Macaca fascicularis: one gene and its partners. The protein of the gene in region 1 binds, or shares a complex with, the protein of each later gene. Links are inferred from orthologs where the notes say so. Each region holds a gene or a part of one and is shown in the gene's direction. Other genes may lie near its edges.

What was found.
Region 2: the proteins of WDR48 (region 1) and USP12 are in contact, whole or in part, in a crystal structure (PDB 5K1C), measured with the Homo sapiens proteins. The link is inferred for Macaca fascicularis from reciprocal best matches to the Homo sapiens genes WDR48 and USP12. Residues at the interface, in NP_065890.1 of Homo sapiens: Arg50, Trp77, Asp118, Tyr119, Lys121, Leu137, Ser170, Tyr172, Thr188, Asp211, Asn212, Lys214, Ser230, Gly254, Trp256, Arg272, Ile363, Ile364, Leu424, Lys425; in NP_872294.2 of Homo sapiens: Arg185, Leu187, Thr188, Cys189, Glu190, Thr191, Ser227, Lys230, Cys236, Arg237, Ser238, Lys239, Gln240, Glu241, His243.
Region 3: the proteins of WDR48 (region 1) and USP46 are in contact, whole or in part, in a crystal structure (PDB 6JLQ), measured with the Homo sapiens proteins. The link is inferred for Macaca fascicularis from reciprocal best matches to the Homo sapiens genes WDR48 and USP46. Residues at the interface, in NP_065890.1 of Homo sapiens: Arg50, Trp77, Asp118, Tyr119, Lys121, Leu137, Arg139, Ser170, Tyr172, Thr188, Asp211, Asn212, Lys214, Ser230, Gly254, Trp256, Arg272, Ile364, Leu424, Lys425, Gly521; in NP_073743.2 of Homo sapiens: Arg181, Leu183, Asn184, Cys185, Glu186, Thr187, Cys222, Ser223, Glu224, Lys226, Cys232, Cys233, Ser234, Lys235, Gln236, Glu237, Gln239.

The regions. Positions count from the first base shown.
Region 1 is NC_088376.1:101,122,327-101,127,501, forward strand, and holds the start of WDR48 (WD repeat-containing protein 48), read left to right. Parts: upstream 1-1,610; 5' UTR 1,611-1,628; coding exon 1,629-1,676; exon of another isoform or gene 1,677-2,204; intron 2,205-5,175. UniProt on the Homo sapiens protein: Regulator of deubiquitinating complexes, which acts as a strong activator of USP1, USP12 and USP46. Enhances the USP1-mediated deubiquitination of FANCD2; USP1 being almost inactive by itself.
Region 2 is NC_088391.1:7,177,864-7,183,117, reverse strand, and holds the start of USP12 (ubiquitin carboxyl-terminal hydrolase 12), read left to right. Parts: upstream 1-1,617; 5' UTR 1,618-1,745; coding exon 1,746-1,847; intron 1,848-5,254. UniProt on the Homo sapiens protein: Deubiquitinating enzyme that plays various roles in the regulation of the immune response and inflammation.
Region 3 is NC_088379.1:81,255,571-81,260,922, forward strand, and holds the start of USP46 (ubiquitin carboxyl-terminal hydrolase 46), read left to right. Parts: upstream 1-2,033; 5' UTR 2,034-2,176; coding exon 2,177-2,212; intron 2,213-2,632; exon of another isoform or gene 2,633-2,827; intron 2,828-3,034; exon of another isoform or gene 3,035-3,150; intron 3,151-4,744; exon of another isoform or gene 4,745-5,006; coding exon of another isoform or gene 5,007-5,021; intron 5,022-5,352. UniProt on the Homo sapiens protein: Deubiquitinating enzyme that plays a role in behavior, possibly by regulating GABA action. May act by mediating the deubiquitination of GAD1/GAD67.

The DNA.
Region 1 (5,175 bases):
TTTCAACATGAAATCAATACAAAAAATTATTAATGAGATATTTTACATTCTTTTCTTCAAACTAGTCTTTGAAATTTGGGGGTAGTTTACAATTACGTATCTAAACTGGAACTAGCTATATTTCAAGTGCTCAAGAGCCACAGATGACTAGCAGATACAACATCAAATCCCACAGTGTAGTTCTATAGGATTCACTTTCACTAGAGAGGGCCTGATCACCCTCAGCTCCTATAATTAGTGTCAGTGAAAACCACACTTTCACCCAGAAGGACCTAACTGTTCTAGTATAAGAGATGATTTAAACTAGAACTGGGTTTTCAGTTCAGGGTTTGGAACTGAGTTGTCTCTGGGAACAATTTTAGCTGATGTACCGTTTTCACCTTCCTGTAACATCTTTCTGTCTTTTTTTTTTTTTTTTTTTTTGAACTTTTAAGTTCAGGGATACAAGTGCAGGTTTGTTATATAGGTGAACTTGTGTCATGGGGGTTTGTTGTACAGACTATTTTGTCACCCAGGTATTTTTTTTTTTTTTTTTTTTTTTTTTTTTTGAGACGGAGTCTCGCTCTGTCCCCCAGGCTGGAGTGCAGTGGCCGGATCTCAGCTCACTGCAAGCTCCACCTCCCAGGTTCACGCCATTCTCCTGCCTCAGCCTCCTGAGTAGCTGGGACTACAGGCGCCCGCCACCGCTCCCCGCTAATTTTTGTATTTTTTTAGTAGAGACGGAGTTTCACGTGTTAGCCAGGATGGTCTCGATCTCCTGACCTCGTGATCCGCCCATCTCGGCCTCCCAAAGTGCTGGGATTACAGGCTTGAGCCACCGCGCCCGGCCTGTCACCCAGGTATTAAGCCTAGTACCCGTTAGTTATTTTTCCTGATCCTCACCCTCCTCCCACCCTCCACCCTCCAAAAGGCCCCAGTGTGTGTTGTCCACCTCTTTGTGTCCATGCGTTCTCATCATTTGGCTCCTACTTACGAGAACACGCCGTATTTGGTTTCCTGTTCCTTTGTTAGTTTGCTTAAGGAAACGGCCTCCAGTTCCATCATGTCCCTGCAAAGGACATGATCTCGTTCTTTTTCATGGCCCCACTTTTTATCCTTTTAATTTAAATGGATTATTTGCTCTTCCCGAAGATGGAGGCAATCTCCTTTGCAAGGACTTCTATTCTTCCCCCTTTGAGGCCAAGATACAATTCTCCGCATTTTTAGGTACTTAATAGTAAATCACTTGGTTCCCCTGCTTGTCTAGGAAGGGTTAGGAGATCGTCCAGCGCCATGTCTTGCACTGTTAATTCTTTCAGTGCTTTCATTTCGCTTGGACCTCTCGGGGAGGGCCTGGAAAAGAGAGCAAGCCAGGGTCTAGGGCCACACAGAAGTGGATTTGGATTGCTCACTCAGCCCTGAAAAGTGGCTCTCTCCCCATCAGTATTATACTTGCACAATGATTTTGTTTTTAGGTGCATCTACCTCACCAGGTGGCTACCGGCCATACAGCAACGAACACCACCCAGGAAACACATATCCTGTCTACCTTCAGACCCGCCACTGATCCTTGGCCAAAGGGAAACGGGCAGAACATCCGCCCGGTCTGAGCCACCTCCGGAAGTGACGTCGGAGTGTCAACATGCAAGATGGCGGCCCATCACCGGCAGAACACAGCAGGGCGGAGGAAAGTGCAGGTATGGAAGCCCGGTTCCTCGGCCTTCCGGACGCGGCTGGCAGCTCCGGGCCCACTCCAGCTAGAAGGTGTCCGGGACCACGGCCGGCCGGGGTAGCGGCATGGGGCGAACGGGGCGGGGCGCGGCCGGCCTTGAGGGGTGGGGCCGCGGCGCTAACGGCTTGAGGAAGGGGCGGGGGTCGGCCTGCGTGGCCCTTGGGGCCCAGGCCCGGGACCCTCGCGGGCGGCGTTCTGAGCCCGGGATTGCTGGTCGCCGCTTTTCTGTAGGAATGGACTTGCGGGGTCGGGATAGGCTAGTTCCCCGCCCACTTGCCTCCCTCTTCCCCTGCCTTTCTTCGAAGCGCTCTGCCCTCGCTGCGTCTGAGCGGAGGCCTCCAGGGGTTTCCCGGGAGGGTGGGCGTTGGAGGAGTGAGCGGCCTGTGCGGGGGCGTGGCGAGGCGGCGGAGCATCGACGGCCCTGCGGGGTTTCTGCTGAGGATTCCGCACTTGGGAGCCCCCAGCCTTCTCTTATGTTGGAGCTGTCCCCTGGGTAGGTGGAAGTGACATGAGAATGTGCGTGGGGAAATTATAATTTTAATTGGGAATTTAAGTTCGTCTTCACTATTTCTTCACCTTCAGTGTGCATCGCTGAATCTTTCTTTATTGTTTGTATAATTTATTGTCCATGTGGTAAAGAGTTGTCTAATCTTATCGTGTGTGTCTTGTGCCTTGTGCCTTTGTGAATTCACTTTTGTTTGGGGTTACGCTTAAGAGTTATTGCCACTTCGGGGAACATCACACACCGTGGCCTGTCGGGGTCTGGGGGAGGGATAGCATTAGGAGAAATACCTAATGTAAATGAGTTGATGGGTGCAGCAAATCAGCATGGCACATGTATACCTGTGTAACAAACCTGCACGTTATGCACATATATCCTAGAACTTAAAGTATAATAATAAAAAAAGTTATTGCCATTTAATATTTTCCGTGATGCAGGGAATAAAAGCCCTCTTACAGGTGTTTGCCTGCAGGTGTATTGTATGTGGTAGTGGCAGTTTGGTGCATTTATTCTTTAAACATTTACCTAGCACTTAGAGTGGCCCCCAGAGGGGAAAAGGGATTGAAAGGTTGTAGGAATAATTTACACCTAGGCTTTCTTTATAAAACACAGCATTATATGGAGTTCTGCAGGTTGAAATCAAGTGTCAGATGAAGGTGGTTAGATAAAGGGATCCTTCAGTAAGGTAATCCCAGCAGAAGGTGGTAGGTTATAAAGTCTTCTGAGTAGTTCACATCTTGGTTTTATTGATCTCATTGATCAGCACAGTGTCTTAAGCACTCACTGTATGTTTGTTGAAATGAGTGAAATTAATGAGTCTAAACTCACTCTGTTAGGTGAGTTTTTCAGTGCATTAGTGATAGGATTTCAGTATCACCAGCATCCAAGGCAGGTAGTGAGAATGTCTCCTCTGGATGGAAATATAACTCAAAATTGTAACCTGATTGTATTACAAGTCTATAACACTATATGGTGGTATACTTCTCTGGGGAATAAGGGTAGTTCATCAGGCCTTTCAGTTTATTGCATTAAGACTTAAAAGTCCTATTACTGCAGTGTGTTCCCTGCTTGCTTCCTTCCCAGGCCTACCCACTCCCAAAATGCATGCAATAAAGTATATATATTTTAAAAAGACTTACAAGGCAATTGTACTAGTATGGGATGAAGAAAATGTAAATTAACTGCAGCAGGTTTGGAAAACCAATGTTTTAATAGGCTGAATGTGAGCCAGTGCATGTAGAATGAGACAGGTGATGGATAATGCCACTTTTCACTGGTCAGAATAAAAAATTAGAGTTTGCTCTTCCGCACTTAGGACCGTGTTCTTCATAGGTAGCAATCAGATTGGTGAACTGACTTGAAATTATTTCCTATGAAGAACTTTTGAAAGAGCTGTCTGAGATTAACCTGCTGAAGAGAAGATTCAGGTAGCTTTCAGAATTTGTCCCCAAGGTATAGAAGCAGCCTGAGAAGCCACAGGGATTGATTTCATCTGAACCATCATTGTCTATGAGGTGTTATTTAAACTAATGAGTGTTCATTGTAAAAATCCCAGCAAACAAAAGTATAGATTAGAGTTGCCCTCCATGCTTCCGAGAAAGCTGCTGTGGGCAATGTCATGTTTTAATCCTAGACCAGAGTTTATCAACCTGAGCATTCTTGAAATTTTCGTCTGGATAATTCTTGGCTGTGTCTGAGGGAGGGAGCTGTCTTATGCATCACAGGTTCTTTAGCATCATCCCTGGCTTCTACCAGCTAGATGTGGTAGCATCTCCCTGGTTGTGACAACTAAAAATGTCTCCAGACGTTTTCAGATGTCCCCTCGAGGGCAAAACTGCTGCTGGTTGAGAACCACTGTTCTGTACCTCTTCCTGCTTGTGTACCTGACTTAACGTGATTTTTTTTTGCTATAAGTGGAGCCATAGTATTCACTGTTTTGTGTCTTGCTTTGTCAAATTTTTAAATAAACACTCCCTTTAGCCCAGAATTCCTTATCTAAAAATATATTCTACAAATTTGCATATGCATATATCTGTCCCTACTTATGCAAGGGTGTTGTGTGAAGCCATTCTTGAATTGCTATAAAGAAATACCTGAGACTGGCTCATTTATAAAGAAAAGAGGCATAATTGGCTCACAGTTCTATAGGCTTTACAGGAAGTATGGTGCTGGGATCTGCTCGTCTTCCAGGGAGGCCTCAGAGAGAGAGAGAGAGAGTCAGAAAAGCAGGTCAACATGGCATATTCCCATTTCCACAAAGGAAATACGTGTTTTAAAAGTCTGTAAGGGTCATAGCAGTGATTATCCCTTTGGGAATAGATTGTGTGATTATAGATAAGACAGGACATGGGATATCTTTTAGTTTGAAGTATACATAACTTTGTATTTTTGAACTTTTTACCACAGTATTTGCTCTTATACATCAAAAAGAAAACTTCTCGTTTTGGAAAAAGCATATATGGGTACTTGCAGTAAAATATACTTTGTCTCCTGACTGTCTCAGACCAAGGGATAGTAGCCCTGAGCTCCTTGTCAAGTTGTAGGCCAAGACAAACCCTTGAGACTTAAAATATTGCTAAATAATCAGTGGAGGCCGGGCGTGGTGTCTCACGCTTGTAATCCCAGCACTTTGGGAAGCCAAGGTGGACAGATCACTTGAGGTCAGGAGTTCGAGACTAGCCTGGCCAATATGGAGAAATGCCGTCTCTATTAAAAATACAAAAATTAGCTGGCATGGTGGTGCTTACCTGTAATCCCAGCTACTCGGGAGGCTGAGGCAAGGGAATCGTTTGAACCCAGGAGGCGGAGGTTACAGTTGGCTGAGATTGTACCACTGTACTCCAGCCTGGGGGACAGGGCAAGGCTCCATCTCAAAAATAAAATAAAATGATTACTTAAAGAAAATCAGTGGAGATGAGTCCAAACATACTGCATATTAATTATCGACATAATTTTAAATGAG
Region 2 (5,254 bases), on another chromosome or scaffold:
CCATTTTTTAATATGTTCCACCTCAGGGTTATATATTTACTGCTGCTATGCTTTAAAAAAAGCAACTTCAAATTCTTAAGCACAGGATTCTGAAAATTAGATGAACTAACCAGATACAGTTACTTTAATTTTCAGATTTTAGGGATATTAGAGTGCATTTATTTCTATTTGTTTTTCTATTTATAATGTTTAAAATGGACCAATTTGTGTGTGCATTAGTTTCCAATGAGGCTGTAACATATCACCATAAGTTTAGTGGCTTAAAATCACACAAATTTATTATTCTAAAGTTGTGGAGGTTGCCGGACGCAGTGGCTCACGCCTGTAGTCCCAGCACTTTGGGAGGCCGAGGCGGGTGGATCACAAGGTCAGAAGATCGAGGGCATCCTGGCCAACATGGTGAAACCCCATCTCTACTAAAAATACAGAGAATTAGCTGGGCATGGTGGCCTGTGCCTATTGTCCCAGGTACTTGGGAGCCTGAGGCAGGAGAATTGCTTGAACCTGGGAGGTGGAGGTTGCAATGAGCCATGATTGCGCCATTGCACTCCAGCCTGGGCGACAGAGCGAGACTCTGTTTAAAAGAAAAAAAAAAGGTTGTGTGGGTCTGGCTGGGCTGAGACCAAGGTCTTGGCTGGACTGTGTTCTTTCCTGGAGCTGCAGGAGGGACTGCTGCTTTGCCTTTGCCACCTGGACGCGGCCCTTGCCTTTTGGATCCTGGCCCCTGCAGCATCTTCAAAGCCAGCCATGACTGGCCAGTCTTTCTTTCATTACCTCCCTCAGACAGGGACTGTCCTGCTTCCCTCTTTCACTTACAAGACCCGTGTGATTACATAGGGCTGACCTGGGTAATCTGGGATAATCTCTCAAGGTCGTTTGATTTTAGCAACCTTAATTCCTTCTGCAACTTGAATTCACAGGTTCTGGGGATTAGGATGTGGACGTTTTGAGGGAGGCAGTTATTTTTCTACTACCACAATATGCACATTTTTTTTAGCTTTAAAAAATATATTAGAGGTGAAAATCAATTCGAGATATGCCTTTAATGCATTTTGGGTTGTGGTGAAAGATTGGGAAGAAGTTGAGTGGGTTTGTAAACATATACCTTTTGTACTAAGTGAACATTAAGAGGTGGTTATCTGTTCTAGTTTTGGAAGTAAAAGAATTTTTACTTCAGGTACTGTTAGCACACTACCAATCTCAGCAGGAGAAAAGTAAAGATGCAGTGGAACATTCAGGAAAATTAGCTACCAATACTTTTACAACTTTTGATGAGTAAATATAGGCTTGGTAGCATGAGAGGTTATGAAAATGGATGAAATGAATAAAAGCTGTACTACATGGCCTTGCTCAACAGAGCATATGTAAAATGTATTTTAGGATTTTAAGATTAGATCAGAACCTTTTATATTTACAGTATAGTAATTTAAATGATGGTTGGGCTTCATTAAAAGATAATCTTGGAGGTTTGGAGAGAAGGCCTTAGGCTGTGTGCTTCCTAAGAAAGAAAGGGCAGAAAAGGGCAACTGTGACATTTTCTTAGGCAAAGTGGAAAGATGTGGAAATTTCTGTGGGTGATATTAGTAGAATTTTAGTAGAGTGAAATAGATTTTTAATGGTTAAAGATAGTATCAGAAGAAGCTCTAATTTGAGGATTGCCAGATCTCAAAATATTTTTGTTTTGAAGTTTATTAAACGACTGCCATAATTAGATTTGATACCTCAGTAAACTTACGAGAAATAGGATGAAACATAGAACCTGGACTTCTAGGGACTTCGTTTTTCTCATTTTGCTTGTAAGTCTGAAGAAAACCAACAGAGCAAGAGAGGCTAAGAAAAGAGACATGGTAAGGAGACAGAAAAGAATAATGAGTGAATATTGGTGTATGGGCTGTGCTGGGTTAACTATTAAGTATGAGTGATTCTTACTCTTAAGGAAGATACGTCTTTTTGGGGAAATGAGCCTTACATGCACATCCAACAGAACAGTATCAGAAAAGTGGGTGTATGAGCTCCATGAGGGTGATTTGTGGAAGGGGAAAGGTTGAACATTTCATTCTCAAGTACTAGCAGGATCTGTAACTCTAATGTACCGATTAATGGATTATAGCACAGCTTTTTATTGTTACAGAAGTGACATATCCACTCTTGCCATTCCCATTTTTGGAGTTTATTGTTACTAGATTTCATAGTACTTGAAACTGGAAAATATTTCTATTTCATTACTATGTTTTTGTATGCATATGTATATATGTTTTATCTTAAAAACAAAATTTATATTGAAGATGTTAAAAGTGAATTTGAGTTTTGGACCTTAAGCTTTATTTATTTACTTATTTTTTTCTGAGACAGAGTCTCATTCTGTTGCCCAGGCTGGGGTGCAGTGGCATGATCTTGGCTCACTGCAACCTCTGCCTCCTGGGTTCGGGTGACGCTCCTGCCTCAGCCTCCCAAGTAGCTGAGATTACAGGTGCCTGCCACCACACCTGGCTAATTTTTGTATTTTTTAGTAGAAAGAGGGTTTCACCATGTTGGCCAGGCTAGTCTCGAACTCCTGACCTCAGGTGATCAGCCTGCCTCAGCCTCTCAGAGTGCTGGCATTATAGGTGTGAGCCACCACGCCTGGCCAGGACACTGAGCTTTAAATGTCAGATATAAACAATTCATCAAAAGAGACTCCAAGTTGAGACGGAGTCTTGCTCTGTCACCCAGGCTGGAGTGCAGTGGTGTGATCTTGGCTCATTGTAAGCTCTGCCTCCTGGGTTCACACTATTCTCCTGCCTCAGCCTCCTGAGTAGCTGGGACTACAGGCGACCGCCACCATGCCCTGGCCAATTTTTTGTATTTTTAGTAGAGACGGGGTTTCACCGTGTTAGCCAGGATGGTCTCAGTCTCCTAACCTGGCGATCCGCCTGCCTCAGCCTCCCAAAGTGCTGGGAATACAGGCGTGAGCCGCCGCACCTGGCACAAACTCTTTTTTCATAAAACAGCTTTATTGAGATATAATTCACATACCATACTAGTCATCCATTTAAAGTGTACAATTTAGTGGCTTTTAGTATATTGATAGAGTTTTGCATTTATCACCACAGTCAGTTTTAATCACCTGAAAGATACTTTATACCCTTTAGCTATCATCTCTCTCCTCCTCCTTTTCTTTCCCTCCCCCTTCCAGCCCTAGGCAAACCAACCACTGATTGACTTTATGTGTTTATATAATTTTCTGCTTTGGACTTTAGTATATGGAATCATAGAGTATATGGTTTTTGGCACTGTTTTCAAGGTTCGTTTATGTTGTGATATGTATTAGTAAAAACTCTGAAAACTACAAAATATTGCTAAAAGAAATTAAAGGAAATCTAAACACAGAAAAAAAATACCATGTTCACAGACTGGAAGACTTTAACACTTAAAATGGTAATACTCCACAAACTGATCTACAGGCTCGATGACATCCTCATCATGGCTTTTAATGGACAAATACTGTTCCATTGTGTGGATATACTACATTTGTTTATTTGTTCATTAATGGACATTTTGGCCATTTCTACCTTATGGCTATTTTGAATAATACTAATGTAAACATTGGGGGTGCAAGCTTTTTATGCACATATGTTTTGTTTTCCCATGTGTCTGTACTTTGGAGTGGAATTGCCATTTAATCTTTTGAGGATCTGCCAGATTGTTTTCCAAAGATGCACCATTTTATGTTCCTGCCAACAGTGTATGGCTGTTCCCATTTCTCTGCATCCCCATTGGTACTTGTTATCTGACTTTCTGATTGTAGCCATTCCATTTTGGGTGTGAGGTGGTATCTCATCTCATTGTGGTTTTGATTTGCATTTCCCTGATGAATAATGATGTTGAGCACCTCTTTATGTACTTATTGGCGATTTGTGTATCTTCTGTGGAAAAATATCTATTTGCATTCTTTGGCTGTTCTTTGAGTTGTCTTTTAATTGTTGTAAGAGTTTTTTTTGTTGTTGTTTTGTTTTTGTTTTTTCAAGACAGGATCTTGCTGTGTTACTCAGGCTGGAGTGTAGTGACATGATCATCCCTTGCCACTCCAGTTCTCAAGTCATCCTCCCACCTCAGCTTCCGGAGTAGCTAGGAGTACAGGTGCATACCCCTATACCTGGCTAATTTTTTACTTTTCGTAGAGATGGGTTCTTGCTATGTTTTGCCCAGGCTGGTCTTGAACTCCTGGCCCTTGGGATCCTCTTGCCTAGTCCTCCCAAAGCACTGGAATTACAGGCATTAGCCACCCTGCCTGGCCTTGGTGTAAGAGTTCGTTATATATTCTGGATACAAGTTTCTTGTTAGTTATGTCATTTGCTAATATTTCCTCCCATTCTATGGGTTGTCTTTTCATTTTCTTGAGGGTGCCATTTGAAGCACAAAATTTAATTTTGATTTTGATGAAGTCTAATTTATCTAATTTTTTTTTCTCTTTTCCTTTTTTTTTTGGAGGCAGAGTCTTACTGTGTCACTGGATATTGGCTCACGGCCACCTCCACTTCCTGTGTTCAAACAGTTGTGCCTCAGACTCCCGAGTAGCTGGGATTACAGTTGCGTGCCACCATGTCCAGCTGATTTTTTTGTATTTTTAGTAGAGATGGGGTTTCGCCATGTTGTCCAGGGTGGTCTTGAACTCTTGGCCTCAAATGATCTGCCCACCTCGACCTCCCAAAGAGCTGGGATTACAGGTGTGAGCCACAACGTCTGGCCTGAGTTTTTTCTTTTGTTGTTCATGCTTTCGGTGTCATATTCATATTTTATAATCCTTTGCCAAATCCCATGTCAATCCTTTGCCAAATCCAATGTTTTTCTTTTAAGAGTTTTCTGGGTGTTGCTGTTCATATACTTCTTTGATCTATTTGGAGTTAGTTTTTTGTACATGGTTTGAGGTAAAGGTAACTTCATTCTTTTGTATGTGACTGTCCATTTGTCCCAGCGCCAGTTGTTAAAAAGACTATTCTTTCTCTGTCGTTTGGAGTTGGCACCCTTGTTGAAAATCATTTGACCATAGATGTATGAGTTTCTGGATCCTCAATTTTATTTCATTGATTTGTATGTTTGCCTCTCTGCCAGTACCACACTGTCATGATTGCAATCATAGCTCATTGCATCTCGTACTCCTGGACTTAAGTGATCATTACACAGGTGAGCCACTGGGTCCGACCTCCATATGAATTTAGAATCAGCTTGTCAGTTTCCATAAAAGTAGCTGGGATTCTGATGGGGATCTCACTGA
Region 3 (5,352 bases), on another chromosome or scaffold:
GTTTTAGGAGATACACCATTAAAATGTATACAAAAGATCCGTTTAACTTGCTGATATAGCACTCAGTAATCAGATGATGTTCAATTTCCATTATGTTGATGGTGTTTTCAATCCTGTGGACTTTGCAATCCAATGTTCGCAGAAATATTGAACTCTTATTATAAAATTTTCATATCATTTAAAGATTTGGATTAATGCCTTTATAGTGGAACTTCTGTGAAATTGAGTCCTGAGATCTGAGTTTTAGTCTTGAGGTTGCTCCTGACCTTGAGACATTAATCCTCAAATCTTAAAGTTTTCTGGGCCTCTGTGTTGGGATTGGTCATAGCTCAGTTGTTTTTTGTCTTCTCTCTTCTCTTCCTCTCCCAGAGTGCTCAGCCCAGGTTACCACACCAACTTCATCTGTAGCATTTCGGTAAGGCATCTGGGCAGGATACTTGATCCTCTAAGCCTTATGTTACTGATCTGCAAAAAACGAGATAATAGCATCTACCGGCTAATAGTTATGGTGGCGATTAAAGGAGATCATGAATGTAAGCATTGGGTGCAGTGGTTCACGCCTGTTGTCCCAGCGCTTTGGTAGGCCAAGGTGGGATGATCACTGGAGCCCAGGAGTTCAAGATCAGGCTGGGGAACATAGAGACCCCGTCTCTTAAAAAACAAAGAGAGAGAGAGAGAGAGAGAAGAAAATCAGTCATGACTTACAATGGAAGAAATTATCATCAGGATGTATTTGGAAATAATATTTAGGTTGAAAGACTTAAGCAGGAATATTACTTCTTATGTGCACTGGAAAACACAGTGACATGACTCCCAAAACCTTCAGTCAACGAGTCTGTCTTACTGTTTCCTCCCCAGATCCTAGGGGGTATTAGCAATCAAGGGCTCTCAAATGTTTACTCTTGGTTAGATAAAATTTATCTTCAACTAATTTTTCTTCTGATTCAATTTGTCATTAAATATATTGATTTAAGAATTTATCACGCATCTCACTTGTACAACTTCTCCCATGAAAGCATCGAATTGCAACTTTGTATGTGTAACTGTTTCACACATTCAGAAACCGGCCCCTTCAATTCGCGTGGACCTATCTGCTAAGTGGTGCACAGACTCACCCTCTGAACCCACAGACACGACCTTTAATGCGGGAAATGTGCATGATCCCATACAGCGTCCATCTCAACAATTGGAGGCTGGGCATCCCTGAGAGGGGTATGCCTGCCTTGAAGATATGGAAAAGTTTTGTTTTCGTTCCTTCCGCTCCTTAGTGCTTGCGCGGAACCGGGACGTCTCCTTTGGACCCGCTAATGTTACAAGCCGCCCAAGCGCGCCGCTGCTGGCCTCCGCCCAGACCCGGATTCCTCTCGCCTCCTGGCGCCCTTTCTCGGGCGCCCGGCCCGCGGCTGGCGAGGGCTCTCTGACCGCTCCGGTGTCCTCGCCCCATTTTACTTCTTGGGTCCCCGCCGGTGCCATCTGGTTGGAACCCTCGGGAAGAACTAAAAGTTGGACGTTGCCACCCCTACCCCTCGCCAAAAACTAAACACCGGAGGCTGCCGAGGCGCTGCGGGAGGAAGGCGACAAGGAAAAAGCGAGGACGGAAGGCGGCCCCGGGTTCGCCCCGGCCCGGGCCTCCCGCCTCCCCACCCCGCACCCCGTGCCGTCCCCGGCTCCCTGGCTTCCCGACGGCGAGGAGGGCCGCTGCTTCCGCGTCGGAGTCGGCCAGGGGGACCTGCGGGGTGCGGCTGCCGCAGCGGCGCGCCCCGGAGCCTGGCCCGGCATTCCAGTCCGAATAGAGAGAGGCAGGGAATCAAATGGAAAAGCAGGAGGCCAGGCCGGGCGGGGAGGGAGGCGGCGCGGCGGGGCCCGGGAACCCAGCCCGGAGCGCTCGGAGCGGCCGGCTTGGACTCACGCGGCGCGCCCGGGCCGCCCCTCCTCCCCGCGCCGCCGGCCGCGGCCCAGGCTCCCTCGCTCCGCCACTCCCCGCCCCTCCGCGCTCCCTCCCCGCCCTCCCCGCGCCGCCGCCTCCTCCTCCCGGCCTCCCTCTCCCAGCCAAACTGAAAGCTGGACCCCAGGCCGCCGCGCCGCCGCCCGGCCTCCCAGCCAGCGCGCCACCATGGGCAGTCCCGGTTTCCCCTTGTAAAGATGGCGGTGAGGGATCGCTGCAACCTTTAGACTAATGACTGTCCGAAACATCGCCTCCATCTGTAATATGGTGAGTGGCCGAGCCGCCTCGGGGTCGCGCCCGACTCGCGGCGAGGCAAAGAAAGGGAAGCCCGAACTGCACCATTCGCCCGGCGGCTGGGGCGGCGGGGTCCGCGCCGCCAGAAGTTCCCGGCCGCCGAGCTGGGCGCGCGGTCGCAGCCCCCTCAGCGGCCGGGGAGGGTCCCCGAGCCCCCCGCGCCCGCCTCAGCCCCGGTACATCAGAGCCCGCCCGGCGATCCCGGGGCCCCGCTGCTGCGCCCCCGCCCTTGGGTTGCGGTGGAAGCGGCTTGAGGGAAGGGAAGCGACCGAACCTGAACGTCCCCAGGGAGGGGGTGGGGGATAAGGTGGAGGTGGGGGCACCCATCCTCTTCTTGCGGTCAAGTCGGCCTTGTTGGACGCCCAGACTGCCCTCATCTCATTTTGAGTTCAGTCCTTCAGCGGTGTTTAGAATTCACTTTGCAACACCAATTGTGTATATGGAGAAATTGGAAATGTAATAAAGCTGTAAAAAAGTGCAAAATTGTGGCTAGAGAAGTGAACTTCAGCCTGGTTTGAAAAAGCACCGTAATTTGCTCCGCATGCCTCAGTTTCCCCATCTGTGAAAAAGGGACAAGGCTCTGTAGCGGTAATATTTGCATGCCCTAAGGGTGGGGCCGGCTGTGGGCTTGGAGGAGGTCTCCAGGGTTATCCTACCTTATCCACTGTAGACCTAGGGGAGACTGGCGGGCATGGATACAGCCAGGGACATCACTGGGTTCTGATGCAGTCCGAGCCCATGACGCGGTGGTCACTTTAATTTGGGCTTCTCCCATTGCTTTCCCTTTTTCTGTAGGAAGAACCTCCAGCCCTTGGGTCCCCAGGGTCCCCAGGGTGGACCCTGCTGGCACCTCCACACGTCAGAGCCTTTGGGAGCTCAGACTGGAGTAAGGCATTGCTGTCCCTTGCAGGGTGAGATGATGTGTGCTTTGCTCCATTCTTTAGACTGCACCCCGCCCCCCTCCAGCCCCCTCCCAAACTGGTCCCCAGAGGCAACACGTGCTCTTACAGTGCCAGTTTGAGGAAAACCTCCCTAGAAGCTAGTAATACTGGCCCCTAAAGGGAATCCAAGGAAGCTTGTTGGAGAAGCCCTGGTGTAAGGTGATCTGGCTGTCCTTCCCCCATCACATAGCTTTTTAAATCTTCTGTCCCACATTCTGTTGCAAGATCAACACATGGCAAAGGAGCATTAAGAAACCTTGTGTTAGCTCAGGGGTGGAATTGAGACCTGCTGGCTTCAGCTTTCAGCACAGTGGGACGTGCCACTGTCACGGCCAGCAGAGCAAATGCTGGGGCCTCCCAGAGTGATAGCTGCACAGGTATTGGTTGGTGCCGGGCGAATTCATACAGGGAGTGGATCCTGGAGCCTTTCTGTTTTCTCTTTTTTCATTTCTCTGCGAGGAGACAGGTTTACTCTTATTCCTGTGGAGGGGCTGCTTGTTATAGAGGTGATGCCTTCTCAGTTTCTCTCTCCTACGACCAGCTTCTGAGGGAACTGTGAATCAGGAGCAGCTTGAATACTCTCTCATGTCTGTTGGTGTGGCCGCAGGCCTAAGGATACTACAGGGTAGTTAGGCTCCGTCCCAGCCCTTGGTGGTGTTCTTGTCCAGCTTGTGTGTGGTTACACCTCTCTGTGTAGAAGCAGGCTGGAAACTTGAGAGCTAGCATGTCCCTAGAGGAAGCCAGCCCCCAACCTCCCCCCACCCGCCTCCCTCCCGCCCTCAGTGCTGTTGGGGCTTTCTGGCACACCTGGGCTGAATGTCACAATGTGTTTCAGTGAAACTCAGCTAGGGAGACAGGGTGTGGGGAGGACCTGAGAGGAGCAGGCCAATACTGCCCTGAGAGTTGACATCTCGGGTGGAGACCTAAAAAGGTACCAAATTTAGGACCATCACCCAGATGAAGTGAGGAACGAGTAATTTCATTAATTAAAGAGTCCGATGTGCCTATTTAGACGCTGTGTCTAGAGAGAGTGACAGAGTTTGGGTTCTAATGTCAGACTTTCTGGGTTCAGGTCCTGGTTCCTTTTTTTTTTTTTTTTTTTTGACAGGGTCTCACACTGTCACTCAGGCTGGAGTGCAGTGGCATGAACATGGTGGCTCACTACAGCCTCCACCTCCCAGGCTCAAGCGATTCTCCCACCTCTGCCTTCTGAGTAGCTGGGACTACAGGCACGTGCCACCATGCCTGGCTAATTTTTAAATTTTCCATAGAGACTGGGTCTCCCTTTGTTCCCCAAGGTGGTCCCTAATTCTTGGGCTCAAGAGGTCCTCCCACCTCAGCCTTCCGAAGCGCCAAATTACTGCTGTGAGCCACCATGCTTGGCAGGTCCTGGTTCTAACACATGTTGGCTTTGTGTCCTTGAACAAGTTGCCCAGTCTTAGACTTTCCTTATCTACCAAAAGGAGATGTTAATATTGTATTACTCGGGCATAGGGCCTGGTACATGGCTAGAACTCAGTGTCATTGTCAACATCATCTTTCTCATTGTTATGTCATCTACCAGGTGTTTAAAGGACAGTGGAGATCATGCCATTTCAGACCTGGTGGAAGCAACCACTAATATAAACACCGCCCACGTTTAGGAAGGCTGGAGTGGGAATCCTTAACCCCGCCCCCTGCTCAGGTCACCCCCCCCCCCCCCCCCCCCGCCCCTGCCGCCCCTCCCAGTCTTCCTTCCCAGAGGAGAAGGCTGGATATGAGAAAACTGCTGTCTTTTCACTGGATCAGACGTAAATATTCACTGGACCTTGATTCTTCGCTCAATAATGAATTGTTTCCAGGTAGGTGTCTTACAGGTCCCTTCTCACTGCTTAGCTTCTCTGTGGGCCTCTTACTGACCCTTCCCACTCCTAAGTTTGTTTGGTCCCAGCTGGTTTGAGTAGTTGTAGTAAGAGCAAGTGAGGATTGCATTTTTTTTTTTTTTTTTTTTTAAGCAGATCGTTTGACATATTTTGAACAGGCTGATATGTGACCAGAAAGGATGTTAGAAGATACCATTTTTCTGGGTAACAGGAAAAAATGAAGATCTATCATTGAAAGTGGATTTGTTTCCTCCATCAGATAAGAAAGGACCCGGCAGAGTAGAAACCAAACTTGTGGCAGATACTTTGT